3 linked regions of the Tribolium castaneum genome follow. The protein of the gene in region 3 purifies or fractionates together with the protein of the main gene of each other region. This does not show direct contact. Links are inferred from orthologs where the notes say so. Each region holds a gene or a part of one and is shown on either strand. Other genes may lie near its edges. The genes, in order: Atac2, Sgf29 and transcriptional adapter 2-alpha.

Region 1 (3,754 bases), on a different chromosome or scaffold from region 3:
GTCTGAAATAATTAATTAACCAACTAGTTTAATAAAAATCGACTTTTCAATTACTTGGATTAAGTGATACAACATGAACTTTCCAATCCCGACGTTTCGCCATCCTGGCCGTGTAAAAATAAAAGAGACGTAATTTTCGGTGTATTTAACATTGGGGACGAGGAACGCAAACGCCACTATTAATTTTTTGTACAAAACTACGCAACTAAAATCCGGATATTGCAAACTTTCAGTTACTGCAACAAAAAATTAAATTGTGTTGTAACATTTCGGACACTTACGATCGATTCCTGGCCAAAAAAAGTTGTTGCAGAGACTGTTAATGGCAGGTATGTGCTCAGGTTGGACGTAGGTGTAGTCAATAGGGGCCCTTGGAGGTAGAACGTAATTTTGTGTTTTTTCGTTTGCTTTCATTTGTATCTCGGCCATTAGGCGTAGCCAGGATGGATAAGTTTCTGTATCTCTTCGTATGTAAGGTTTTAAATAAATGCTGCTGTAAGGTGAGAGAATTAGTTCTTTTCTGATACCACCCATCAACCTGACTCTCATTTCGCTTCCTTTCTGCCTAAACGCGTCTAAAATTATTTTTGGAGTAAATTCTTAAGCCCTGGGACTATGGGGGACCAAAATATTTGGTGGCATGACGAAAAATCGAGCAAATTTTAAGCGCAAAATAACCTTTTGGAATTGGTACTTGGGCAGATTTTTTTATTCAATTATGACCTTTCTTAACTTAACTTAATTTCTCAACTTTTTCAATAAATCAGAATCTTTACAATATTTACAAAAATCTCGTCTTGCCTCCTAGCTTTAGTCCTGCACACCTCTCACTTGACTTACTGCTAAAGCAAGTGTTGTAGTGACAAAACGGGTCGAGCAATTTCACAGACTCCTTATTTTGCTCACTTGGGGGCTTATTACGTGGCTGAGCTTCGCCCAAATTTCGCTCGTTTTGTTTGAGATAAGTTGGCGTTAATTCATCACCTAAGTTTGAAAAAACCGGCGAGTTTTTATTCATTTTTAAGAGTCTAGAATTGCATTGTTATGTTGTGACTTTGAACAGAAAAACTTACTTTTTGGACGTGCTCTCAAATGTTGGTAAAAGACTTTTTCTTTTATTTACGGTAAAGTTTTTAGTAATCTACAAACAATGGATGATTTGTAAGTTCAAAACGTAACAAATTGTACCTTTTTATTGGTTTCATCGTCTGGATTTTTTTCCGAAAAGTTGGGAACATCGACAGTGAATAAAGGCGTTAGCAAATCATCGTCTTTGATGTTTTTGTGTAAAATTTGTGTGAATAATTCAGTGTCTGAGACTGATATTTTTAAAATTTTCGTTTTTTGCTTCTCGTTCGTGAGAGCAGCATCTGGAATTATACTTTCACTCCTGATTTTTTAATTATTATTTCACTCAATTACATAAATTTGAAATTACGTTAGGGGTGAGTTTGGGGTAGGTGAGGGCCCACCAAGCCGGTTCATTAACGACCGAAGTCCCCGACTTGAAAAAATACGTACTGAAGTGCGATAAAGTCCCAGCAACGGTCCCAACCCATTTTTTTTTCTTTTTACTACAAAAACCAACAATTACAAATATGTGATAATCAAATGTTGGAACTTACAAATCCTTCAAAAACAGACTCTCCCAGTTTTTGTCGATTAGTGACGCTATGTGGTTCCTCCAATGGAAGTACCCCTTGCGCCCCAAACCCGGACTTCGTGACTGCAAATGATACAAAGCCAAAACTAATACTTTTAACCTAAAAGAACTCGTCCACGGAACGCCCTAAATACCTACTACATTTCTAATTACCAAGACATTTTCTCCCTAACAAACGACTCGGACCCGGCCTCCGAACATTCCTCACAAGTGAATGTGAAAAAAATATCGCCGTGAAGCCCCCCAGGCACACAACCACTTTTGAGACACCGCAAATGAACACTTTGCGAACATGAACTGCACGTTAGGCCTTCGTCGAGACAATCTTCCAATTTATTTGTGCAATATTTACAGATTTTGCAAGTTTCGCTCATTTTTGGATTGTAAACACAACCTCACTTCGAGATTATTGTCACGTGATTGACGTCCATAATGGCGGGTTTTTGAAAAAAATGGACGAAAATTATGTAAAATTGCATTTATTGTAACATCAGTCTTGGGAGGGCTCCGCCGTGACGGCCTCTCGATTCTCGTAGGCCCAAAAGCGGTGAAACTCGATTAAAATACTGACAAAAGTGTCCCCTTGCCCACAGGCGATTAAATCATTCAGGGTGATTTTTTCCGGATCTTTAGGCCTGACCATGTCAAACAGTTCGTCTTTAACGTCCTCAAAGGACACAGCTTCGGCCCCATGGGCCCTCATCTGCTCCTGAATCGCTCGGAAAAAATAATTTAAAGTGAAAGAGTCCAAGTAGCCTTGATTATTTATGTCTAAGATGCGGAACAAAAAAGCAAGAGCTTGTGGTTCGGCACGATTTTCCAAAGCTAGTACTAGATCTAGATAAGTTTTGTAGTCCATTTCACCGGAATAAGTCAAAAGCGTTTGAAAAACGCGGTCTAGAAAGGGCTGCGTTAAAGTCCCAGAGCCATAACCCGCAAGTTCAGATTTATTCAACATTCCGTTGTGATCACGGTCAAGATTTAGATAATGTCCGTAAATACGTAACGTTGAAGGGGCACTAAACCAATTTTGTTCCTGCACCTCTTTACTCAACTCCTCGTCCCTCAATTCGAGTAAATCATCAAGGAACGAACAAGCTAAAATGTCTAAAATCCGCACACGACCCGCACGCACTCCATCGAGGAAAAACAGAAATTTCCGAACGGCCGTACACACGTAAAAACTATAAAACGACTTTTCCAGTCCCTCAAGTTGCGGCAAAGTTGGCAACAACTCAGTGATATAATTCTCCAAGTCGATTTCAGTCAAGTAACCCTGTCCCGTACTATCATACAGCGATAACCCGATCCTGGTCTGCTGTAGCCACACTTTACGCATCACGTAGTTAAAAAGCGACATGATCGAGACTCTGCCCTGGGGGTCACCCTGTTGGAGCTTCGCAAACACGACCGAAGTGAAGTAGGGCTTGACTTTGGGCCCCACCAGCGTGACCACCTTCTGATAATCGGAGTACGTTATCAACTGTTCCTCGGGGTAGCTCTGGTTCTGGTCCAAAATCACCCACAGTTCCTTCAATTCGTTGTTATCCAACAAGTTTTGACTTTTACGTTTCAGTAAATTGGAGCGGCTCTCCTCGCGCAGTTTTTGCCTTAGGGGCTCATCTTCTTTCGGTAATTTATTGTAAAAACGCGGAATGCCCGTGGTTTCGTTCGGTGGTTTGTCACAATATTGCTTCATGTAGTGTTGGAAGTACTCGTCTTCTTGTTGCTCCAACTCGGGGGGCGACTTTTTCGCACCTGGCAAAATTACCAGTCGAAATTTTAACTAAATGAATTAATTTTTACCTCCACTTTTCGTTATTTTTTCCCGCAGTAGTGTTTTTAAATCCATTTTGTCCGCAAAAAAATAAACCTAACCGTGAACTTGTGATTGTGACAATTTGAAAAAATGGCGGGTGGTGGCTAAGGTCACCACATTTTGGGTTTGGAGGCCTTGTTATACAATTTTTATGATAATTGCGCCAAAAATCGAATAAATGCGTTATGTGGGGTGAGGTACGTTCGTAATTAGTTAATTTCGCGTGATTATTTGGTGTGAAAAATTGGTCGGTGTGTGGTTGTGACGTTAGA
Region 2 (3,722 bases), on a different chromosome or scaffold from region 3:
TTTTCAGGAGTTCCATTTTTTTAAAAGTTAGATTAGAAAATAACAAAAATGTAAAAAAAATTCATGTACATGTAAAGATGAATAATAAATTGGTGAAATATAACACAAAATGAAAGTTTCTCGAATGTTTACTACCCAATAAATTATTCCATAAAACTTGAAGCTTCAGAATCAGACATAGTGTCTGAAAGATAATGTCAGGCTTGCTTTGTCTTCTGTTTTATGGCAATGACGTAGCGTTGGGCCACATACAGGGGCGGGCTGTAGCCTTCAGGATACGCAGCGTCTTCAAACAAAATCTCATATTCATCAGTATGTGTTGCGGGAGGCTTGTTCACAATGCCTTTATAGAAGCAACTCGTAGTTGGGTATAGAGCCATAACTGAAACGCAAAACCAACATTTTAATTTACGTGGTGTCCGGTTATAACGAACTCAGAAAATGTGTCAAAATCCGTTCGTTATATCCGAGGTCATTAGAAGAGATAAATTAACAAAGAGTGTCTTTTTAGCTGTTATTTTTGCTTTATATCATTTGTCAAATAAGACGAAATAAGAAAGAATTGTAAAAAAACATTAATCCTTTGCGAAAAAGTAATAATTTGATAGTTGTGCAAATATTTTAAGGAATGTGAGTAGAGCTCAAAAGAACTCAACTTGCATTATCCGAATATTTGTGGTTTCTGAATTTTCGTCGGCGATGGCGAATAAATTTAAATTTGGCGAGCAATTTTAAACTTTACTAATAAAAATTTTAAACAAATATGATCTCTGAGGAATCTACTACACTGAGTAAAAATTATTAGCAAAAACAGACACAAAAAAACCACGAGACATCCCATAAAATAATTATAAAAATGTAAAAAATTTACATAGATTTTTTTTGTGCTAACATACCACCGAATGTTTCAACACGTTTGTGACATTCATCGGGCAATAATTCCAGAAATACTAGCCGAAACCCTAATAAGTGTATAATCGTTGGATAGCTCTTAATAATCTGTTTCTTTTTACAAAAAAGACCATTGTTCTGCGATTAACAGTTTTAAAAAAAATCGCAAACAGTGTAAAAAATATATCTTAAAAATTATTAAGAATCTGGTCATTTTCTTGACGCCAAGCGATTTCCCAGAGCATTTTACAAAGACAACTTTAAAATAGTTTCAATTTTCCGAAGAGTTTTGCCATAATCGGTGCTTGAAACAGGAGGAAGTTCGTTGTAACTCCACTTACCGACAGTTCCTTGTGGAAACAAGGCCGTTGGATCAGTCTCGGGATTAGCCCGCATTAGGGGTAACGGTACCACATTTCTCTTGCTCAAAGTATGTCGCCGTTTCTGATTCTGCTCCGCCAAAATATCATCAACTTCGTACTTATTTGAGGCGTGATTATAACTGTACACTTCAGCCAATATCCAGTTTTCGCCATCTCCATCAGGAATTTTAACCAAAGCAGCCACCATATCGCCCACTTTTGCCACATAGCCAGAGTCAGCAGGTGTGGCACCACAGAGAGCAGGAGGTTTTTCGTCTATTTTACCGACGAAAAGGGGCAATGTTTGTGCCGAACTCATTAACATCTTCATCCAAGTGCCCCTACGAATCGATTCTTTGTTTCCAGCATGTCTCGTTTGAATTCTCCGTTCGTTCTTAATGTTGCGGATTTCCGCAATTTTTTGAAGAGCTTGACGGAGCAAATCCTCCTCTTGCTCGGCGTGCGAAATTGAGGACTTGTAGAGGCTCTTTAGCTTCATCTACAATATATAATCATTACAGTAATCATATAAACTCTTATTGAATCGAAACAATGGAATTCTTTAAATTCACGTAAACAAAAATATTTACTTGAAACACAATTGAGCTTTAAAAGGTGGTTCAAAGGCGATTTTTTTTAATTTAGCGTTTCCAGGGCACCGTAAGCCGCCAAAGATCAGAAAAATGTCATCAAAGATCTTAAAAGCCATTGTAATTATTTACGTTTTAACAATTTTAACTGTAAGTTGCAGTGAAATCAGTACTTTTATTTGTAGCATAATTATTAGGTAACGATTGCCGCTGAGAACAAGACCGAGGTAAAGGGACCAAATGTCGTTGACACAAAGAAGAAAACAAATCACACTGATACACACATAAAAATGTTGGCCCCAAATTACTGTTATTTTTTCGGAAAATGCCTCAAAATATTTTGCGAATGCCAGAAAATCCACACCTGATAATGTTGGCTGGACTTCTCGTCTTGCCCATTTTGAAACTTAACAATGTTGTTTATTCCTTGTTCACTCTGTTGGCGTTTCTTCTCAATCTCATGAACCGTGTGATAGAGCGACTTCAAGTGCTCCTGAACTTTTTGCGCTGCGATTGCGTCTGCACTAAAGGGCATTTTAATAGTGCAATTAAAATTCACCGCAGAAATATGGGTTCCTGAAGTGCCTGTCTACAAGCACAACGTGGTACCAGCAAAGCAACACTAAAGTGACGAGTACCTGAAACGCCCAAAATAGAGCAAAAGTATACACTTTAGTAATCACTGACTATTCTACACACGGTTCTAGTGGAAATGTTTATTTCAATTAAATCAAAAAACATTGATTTGACTGTTTGATGCACTGCCAGGGAAAAGGGCACAAGTCGCACTGCGGGGGTAACTTTTATGTATTGTACTTTACAATAAACTACTAATTATGGAAATGGTAATTTTTTATCAAAATAACATGCACGTAATTTAAAATACACTTATTTTTGTTTGCCTGTGCTTGACGTTAGCCGTGCAAATAGACTACTTTTTGAAACACACGACCTAATACATATATTCAATTAAACCTACAAAAAATTCACTAATTAGTAATAATTGTGGAATAAAATGCTTGATAATGTTTTTAACATTGCAACGATAATATCACTAAGTTTCCCTTTTTTTCTATATAAGATAATGTTGTGTTAGGATTACTTATCTCTGTGTTGTCACATTGGAACTACGACGGCCTTGAGGCGCTATTTAAAAAATTGCAACTATTTTTTATTTATTTAATTAAATACGTGTTTGTAAACTTGCTACGAGGTTGTGATTGTGAATTTAATTAGTACTTGCGTCTTTAGATTAAAATGAAAAAAATTATTTGCTTATTAATTATGTAACTAACTAATGATATAGAGGTTTTTAATTTAAATATTTCAGGAAAATTCTGGTTTCAAAACGATTTGGGTCTATCTGAAAATTTATTTCATTAAAAAATATCGTGTTATTTAAATTTAGCGCCGCGCTTGTGCAGAGCGTGATGTTTGTAGACGTTTTAGGAATTGACAGGTAGCACAGAACAGAAAGGGTTAAGAAGTGATAATTCCCTAGTAAATCACTGGCAACACGAGAATCCAGCGCCTCTGGTGCTGAAGTGCGTTACTACCACGGTAAAGTGCCACGTTTGAATAAATTCCTTTTATATTGTTTTTTATTATTTTTATCTTACAAGTTTCATTGCAAATTGTTTAAAATAAAAAAATATATTTTCATTTTAAACAAAATGAAAACGTTTTATATTTATTTTAAACAAAATTTGAAATGAAACTTACAAAAAAAGTTGTTTTGGGGTAATAAAACACAGATTTTGTTAACATTTTTATTGTACACTTGAGTAACATAACAAATTAAATTTTTCAAAAAATTAAAGTATTGTATTATTTCTTAATTATACAAAAATTATAAAAAAATTAAATCAGTCAGTGTTGG
Region 3 (3,754 bases):
ATTACACCAAAAATTGTGTTAATGTTGTCGTTTTCGTATCTTTGGGCATGTTTTAAAATAAAAAAAATTGCAAAAACTAACTGAAAATCCACAAATTAAATCGAAATTGTTGTTGTTTACTTTGGATTGGTAAATTTACTACTTATTTAGTTTGGATAATCTTGCCAAAACACGTCTAAAATATTACAACATAATTAGAAAATTCTTATTTTGTGATATTTCGCCAAAAAACATTACTTTGCAATTTCACGTGTTTTAGCATTTTTTTTTAAATTGTGTTTAAAAATGACATAAAAGCATAAACCAGGAGGAGATAACACAAAAGTCGATCGTTTTTCTTGGCCAAAAAATGAGGAGTTTTGTCAATCAATCAAAAAAAGATGTTACTCAAAAAAATCACAAAATTAAGTCAAAACTTTTGCTTTTGCAAGCCGAAGATTTTTAAAGACCAAAATTAATGCTATGTTGCAGCTTTTTGTGAGCCTTTATACATGTTTTAAGGTAAAAATTAAAGTGTTTAAAAATTCTCTAGCTAGAAATTCACAGAATTAAATCTAAATTGGGGTTATTTTAGTTTACTTTGCTCAATTAAGTTCCTTTTTTGAACGAGAAATTTAATTTAATTACTCTGCCTTTTTCGAAAGTTTAGCATTTCTTCAAAAAACGTAATCACCAAATTGTTATTATTATATTATATTTTTAATTATATTTAATATAATAAAATATAAATAATAATAACAATTATATATTATATAAATAAATAAAATAATTAAATATATATGTAATTATATTCTTAACTATCATATTTTAAAGCTCGTTTTTTTAAGGTAAAACGCAATTTTTACTGAAATTTTGCTAAACTTGCTTAAAAAATCTGCTCGAAGATGACAATATTTTACTATTTATGAGATTTATTACCACGTTCATCCATAAAAACACATTTATTTCGCAACATTTGCTCAAAAAGAAGCCAAAAAAATTGCGATTAGAACGAAATTAGCATTATATTTGCTTTTTCGAGTGTTGAAGCGCCGATTTGTTTGAAAAAAATGTTAATTCTGCATTTAGCGAGTGATATAACTTTTTTCGCGAGATTTTTTTAAACCAAAACGGTTCCATTGTAAATAGCTATTTGTGCAACGAGATAGAAAAAGTGAATTCTTTCTGGAAAAAACTTACGAGTTGAACACAATGTTTTGTAAAATTCCGTGAATATTGAAGAGTTTGAGAATTTTTCATCGAATTTTACAAGTGTTTTTTTTTCCAAAATACAAATTGTATTATTTTTCGTCACGCCACTAACTGTTGAAGTATGTTTTAACATTTTTCTTTGTTTTTATTAATCTTTAGTGAACATTTTTTTCTCCGTCGTGTTTTTTTGGAACTCAATAAGCCGCTATTATGGAAAATAACCAACTTTATATTAATTCAACCGTTTGATATGAACCTAAGAATTTGTATTTTGAGTTCGCCGCTGTGGTGTAACCCCTCCATCAACATTTCGAACTGGACAGGAGTACAAAATTGCATAAATCGGATCAGTTTTTCATACACAGGACGTGTAATCGTAACGTCATACCGATGAAGCCAAGCGTAAACTTTCCGCAGAATAATCAATCCGTGTTCTCTTATGATTTTTTTCCACCTTTGGCGCTCCCTCAACCGCCGGTTATAACTCTGAATGATCGCACATTGAAGATTTGTGATCAAGTCAAAATGAGGATCGTCCTTATCAACCGGTTTAAGGTTCGAGAGCAGATCCTCAGCCGACGAATCGAACTCGCATTCGAAATCGGACCTCGCGGGGTTATAACCGGCCAAAGACTTGTACCCCACTGTGTTGGGGGAGTAGCGAGGGGGCTCATCGGTGTCGCTAATCCGCTGTCTGTAGGGCACCACCGGCTCACAAAACCAGTCCCTTTTGCTCGCCTCGGGCAAGTCTTTGGACCCCTTTCTGTCTAAATAAAACCAATCGTAGTGCGCCCTAATCTCCCTCACACTCCGATTTGGGAACTCTTTCGCCACTAAATTCCAGTTCCCGTATTTTTGTAACGACTCTAACAACACCACCTCCTCCCGAGCCGTCCAGTCCGTGTTACCCCAAACCGGAAAATCGTCGCGGATTATGTGATAATCGTGATCGTTCTTGTGCCCCCCAAACTCCGCACCTTTCGAAAAACACAGCGAACAAATATTCACTTTACACAAAGCGCAATAAATGTAAGGCGCGACCAAATCGCACGAACAATTCGAACAAACACTATCAGAGTCACTAGAGTAAAACGCAGGGGGGCCACAGTCTGAAACCTCAGTTGAGAACGAGAAGTAAACAAGGGGGCTCACCTTTGGGAAACTGCAAGTCAGCGGCGTCTTCTTCGGTTAAGTCGGTGTTTGCGTTTGCCATTTTTTCGAAAACTGTTTGGATACCACAAAAACTTAGGTTATGTGCATAGGTTATGTGAGCGGCAAGCGCTGCCTACCTGGCAAAATTTAAAGCACTAGCACTTTACTAGTGCGGTGTTTTTTGACGATTATTTATGAAATTATTATGTAATTCGAACGCAATCGGCATAAAACGTGAAAAAAAAAATAATTGGGGAAAATTTGATTGTAGCCACGGGACCTCTAATTTGTTTTGTGTGAATTGTGTGATACCAACGGTGACTGTAAAAAGTCTCCAAACTGATTTTTGCCAAAACTGTCGTAATTTAATAAAACAGGCGATAAAAAATAGTAAAAATCGCTTTATTGGCGCTATGGTAGTTCACTTTACAAAAACTAATCAATTAAGTTAATTACATAATTATTTTTTAGGTTAGGTTACCAATGTCGCTATCAAGGGGGCCCCAAATCCTCTCCCTTGTGAACAAAACGCCCGTCTTTCTTAGACTTTTCGCAACGCAAATCGCCTCATTTGATGAAGTCAAGTCAGTAAAAACGACTCCTAAGACTCTTCTAATCGATGTCAGGGAGCCCCACGAATTGCAGGAAACCGGAGTTATTCCTGACAGCATCAATATTCCACTTGGCGAAGTCGAGAAAGTGTTAAAAGACATGCCTTCTGAACAATTTCAAAAAACTTACAAAAAGGCTAAACCTGATTCTAGCACCCCCTTAATTTTTTCGTGTCGTTCGGGGAAACGTAGTGCCCTTGCGTCCGAGATTGCGACGAAGTTGGGGTTCAAAGATATAAAGAATTATTCCGGGGGGTGGCTAGAGTGGGAGGAAAAAAGTAAAAATATTTGAGTTGTAAATAAATAATACGTTATATGAGTGTAGGGGTTGTAGTTTGATTTGGATTTAGGTAGTGCCGTATTTACTTATTTACTGCGGCACAAAAGTGATAAACATGGAATGTTAAAAAATAAGTCAAAAAGAGTTTGCAATCTACAAATCTCGTCAAAAATTTTTTGAATGATAACACCTTTTGAAAGGCCTGATCACCATAAGTCAAAAATACTCACAAAAGCAAAACCAAATAATAATTTTGCATGTGTTTTGCCCTGAAGTGGATATTAGATACGATTTCTTCATTTGTTGATGTTAGGAGCATCCAGCGCCAATGTGGACACAAACACTTATTGCAAAAAAACATCAGCGCCGTTTTGAAAACAACATTTACCTACTCCATGACCCCCTTCCGTACTTTTAATAACGTGGGACAGTTTCCTCGAACTTTTCGTCTTCTTTGTTGGATTTTTTAAATGTTAATTGTCAAATTGAAAAAGTGCGCGCGCATGCGCTTTGATTTTTA

What was found.
Region 1: the proteins of transcriptional adapter 2-alpha (region 3) and Atac2 purify together in Drosophila melanogaster (affinity purification with mass spectrometry; 3 studies listed by BioGRID, with this or other methods). This does not show direct contact. The link is inferred for Tribolium castaneum from reciprocal best matches to the Drosophila melanogaster genes Ada2a and Atac2.
Region 2: the proteins of transcriptional adapter 2-alpha (region 3) and Sgf29 purify together in Drosophila melanogaster (affinity purification with mass spectrometry, with the first as the bait; 3 studies listed by BioGRID). This does not show direct contact. The link is inferred for Tribolium castaneum from reciprocal best matches to the Drosophila melanogaster genes Ada2a and Sgf29.

What each region holds. Positions count from the first base shown.
Region 1 is NC_087396.1:22,635,349-22,639,102, reverse strand, and holds the start of Atac2 (cysteine-rich protein 2-binding protein), read right to left. Parts: upstream 2,107-3,754; 5' UTR 2,038-2,106; coding exon 1,817-2,037; intron 1,764-1,816; coding exon 1,626-1,763; intron 1,575-1,625; coding exon 1,423-1,574; intron 1,371-1,422; coding exon 1,189-1,370; intron 1,142-1,188; coding exon 1,074-1,141; intron 1,029-1,073; coding exon 841-1,028; intron 576-840; coding exon 282-575; exon of another isoform or gene 237-281; coding exon 55-236; exon of another isoform or gene 3-54; coding exon 1-2. Other genes in the region: serine/threonine-protein phosphatase 2A regulatory subunit B'' subunit gamma, read right to left, coding at 2,154-3,421, 3,470-3,515.
Region 2 is NC_087396.1:14,033,241-14,036,962, forward strand, and holds Sgf29 (SAGA-associated factor 29), read right to left. Parts: upstream 2,809-3,722; 5' UTR 2,531-2,808; intron 2,482-2,530; 5' UTR 2,379-2,481; coding exon 2,208-2,378; intron 1,753-2,207; coding exon 1,233-1,752; intron 383-1,232; coding exon 198-382; 3' UTR 111-197; downstream 1-110. UniProt on the Drosophila melanogaster protein: Component of both the SAGA and CHAT histone acetyltransferase complexes, which both predominantly acetylate histone H3.
Region 3 is NC_087398.1:11,844,837-11,848,590, forward strand, and holds the start of transcriptional adapter 2-alpha, read right to left. Parts: upstream 2,486-3,754; 5' UTR 2,405-2,485; coding exon 2,344-2,404; intron 2,301-2,343; coding exon 1,448-2,300; intron 1-1,447. Other genes in the region: rhodanese domain-containing protein CG4456, read left to right, coding at 2,757-2,759, 2,815-3,246. UniProt on the Drosophila melanogaster protein: Component of the histone acetyltransferase (HAT) complex ATAC; predominantly involved in acetylation of histone H4, including at Lys-6 (H4K5ac) and Lys-13 (H4K12ac).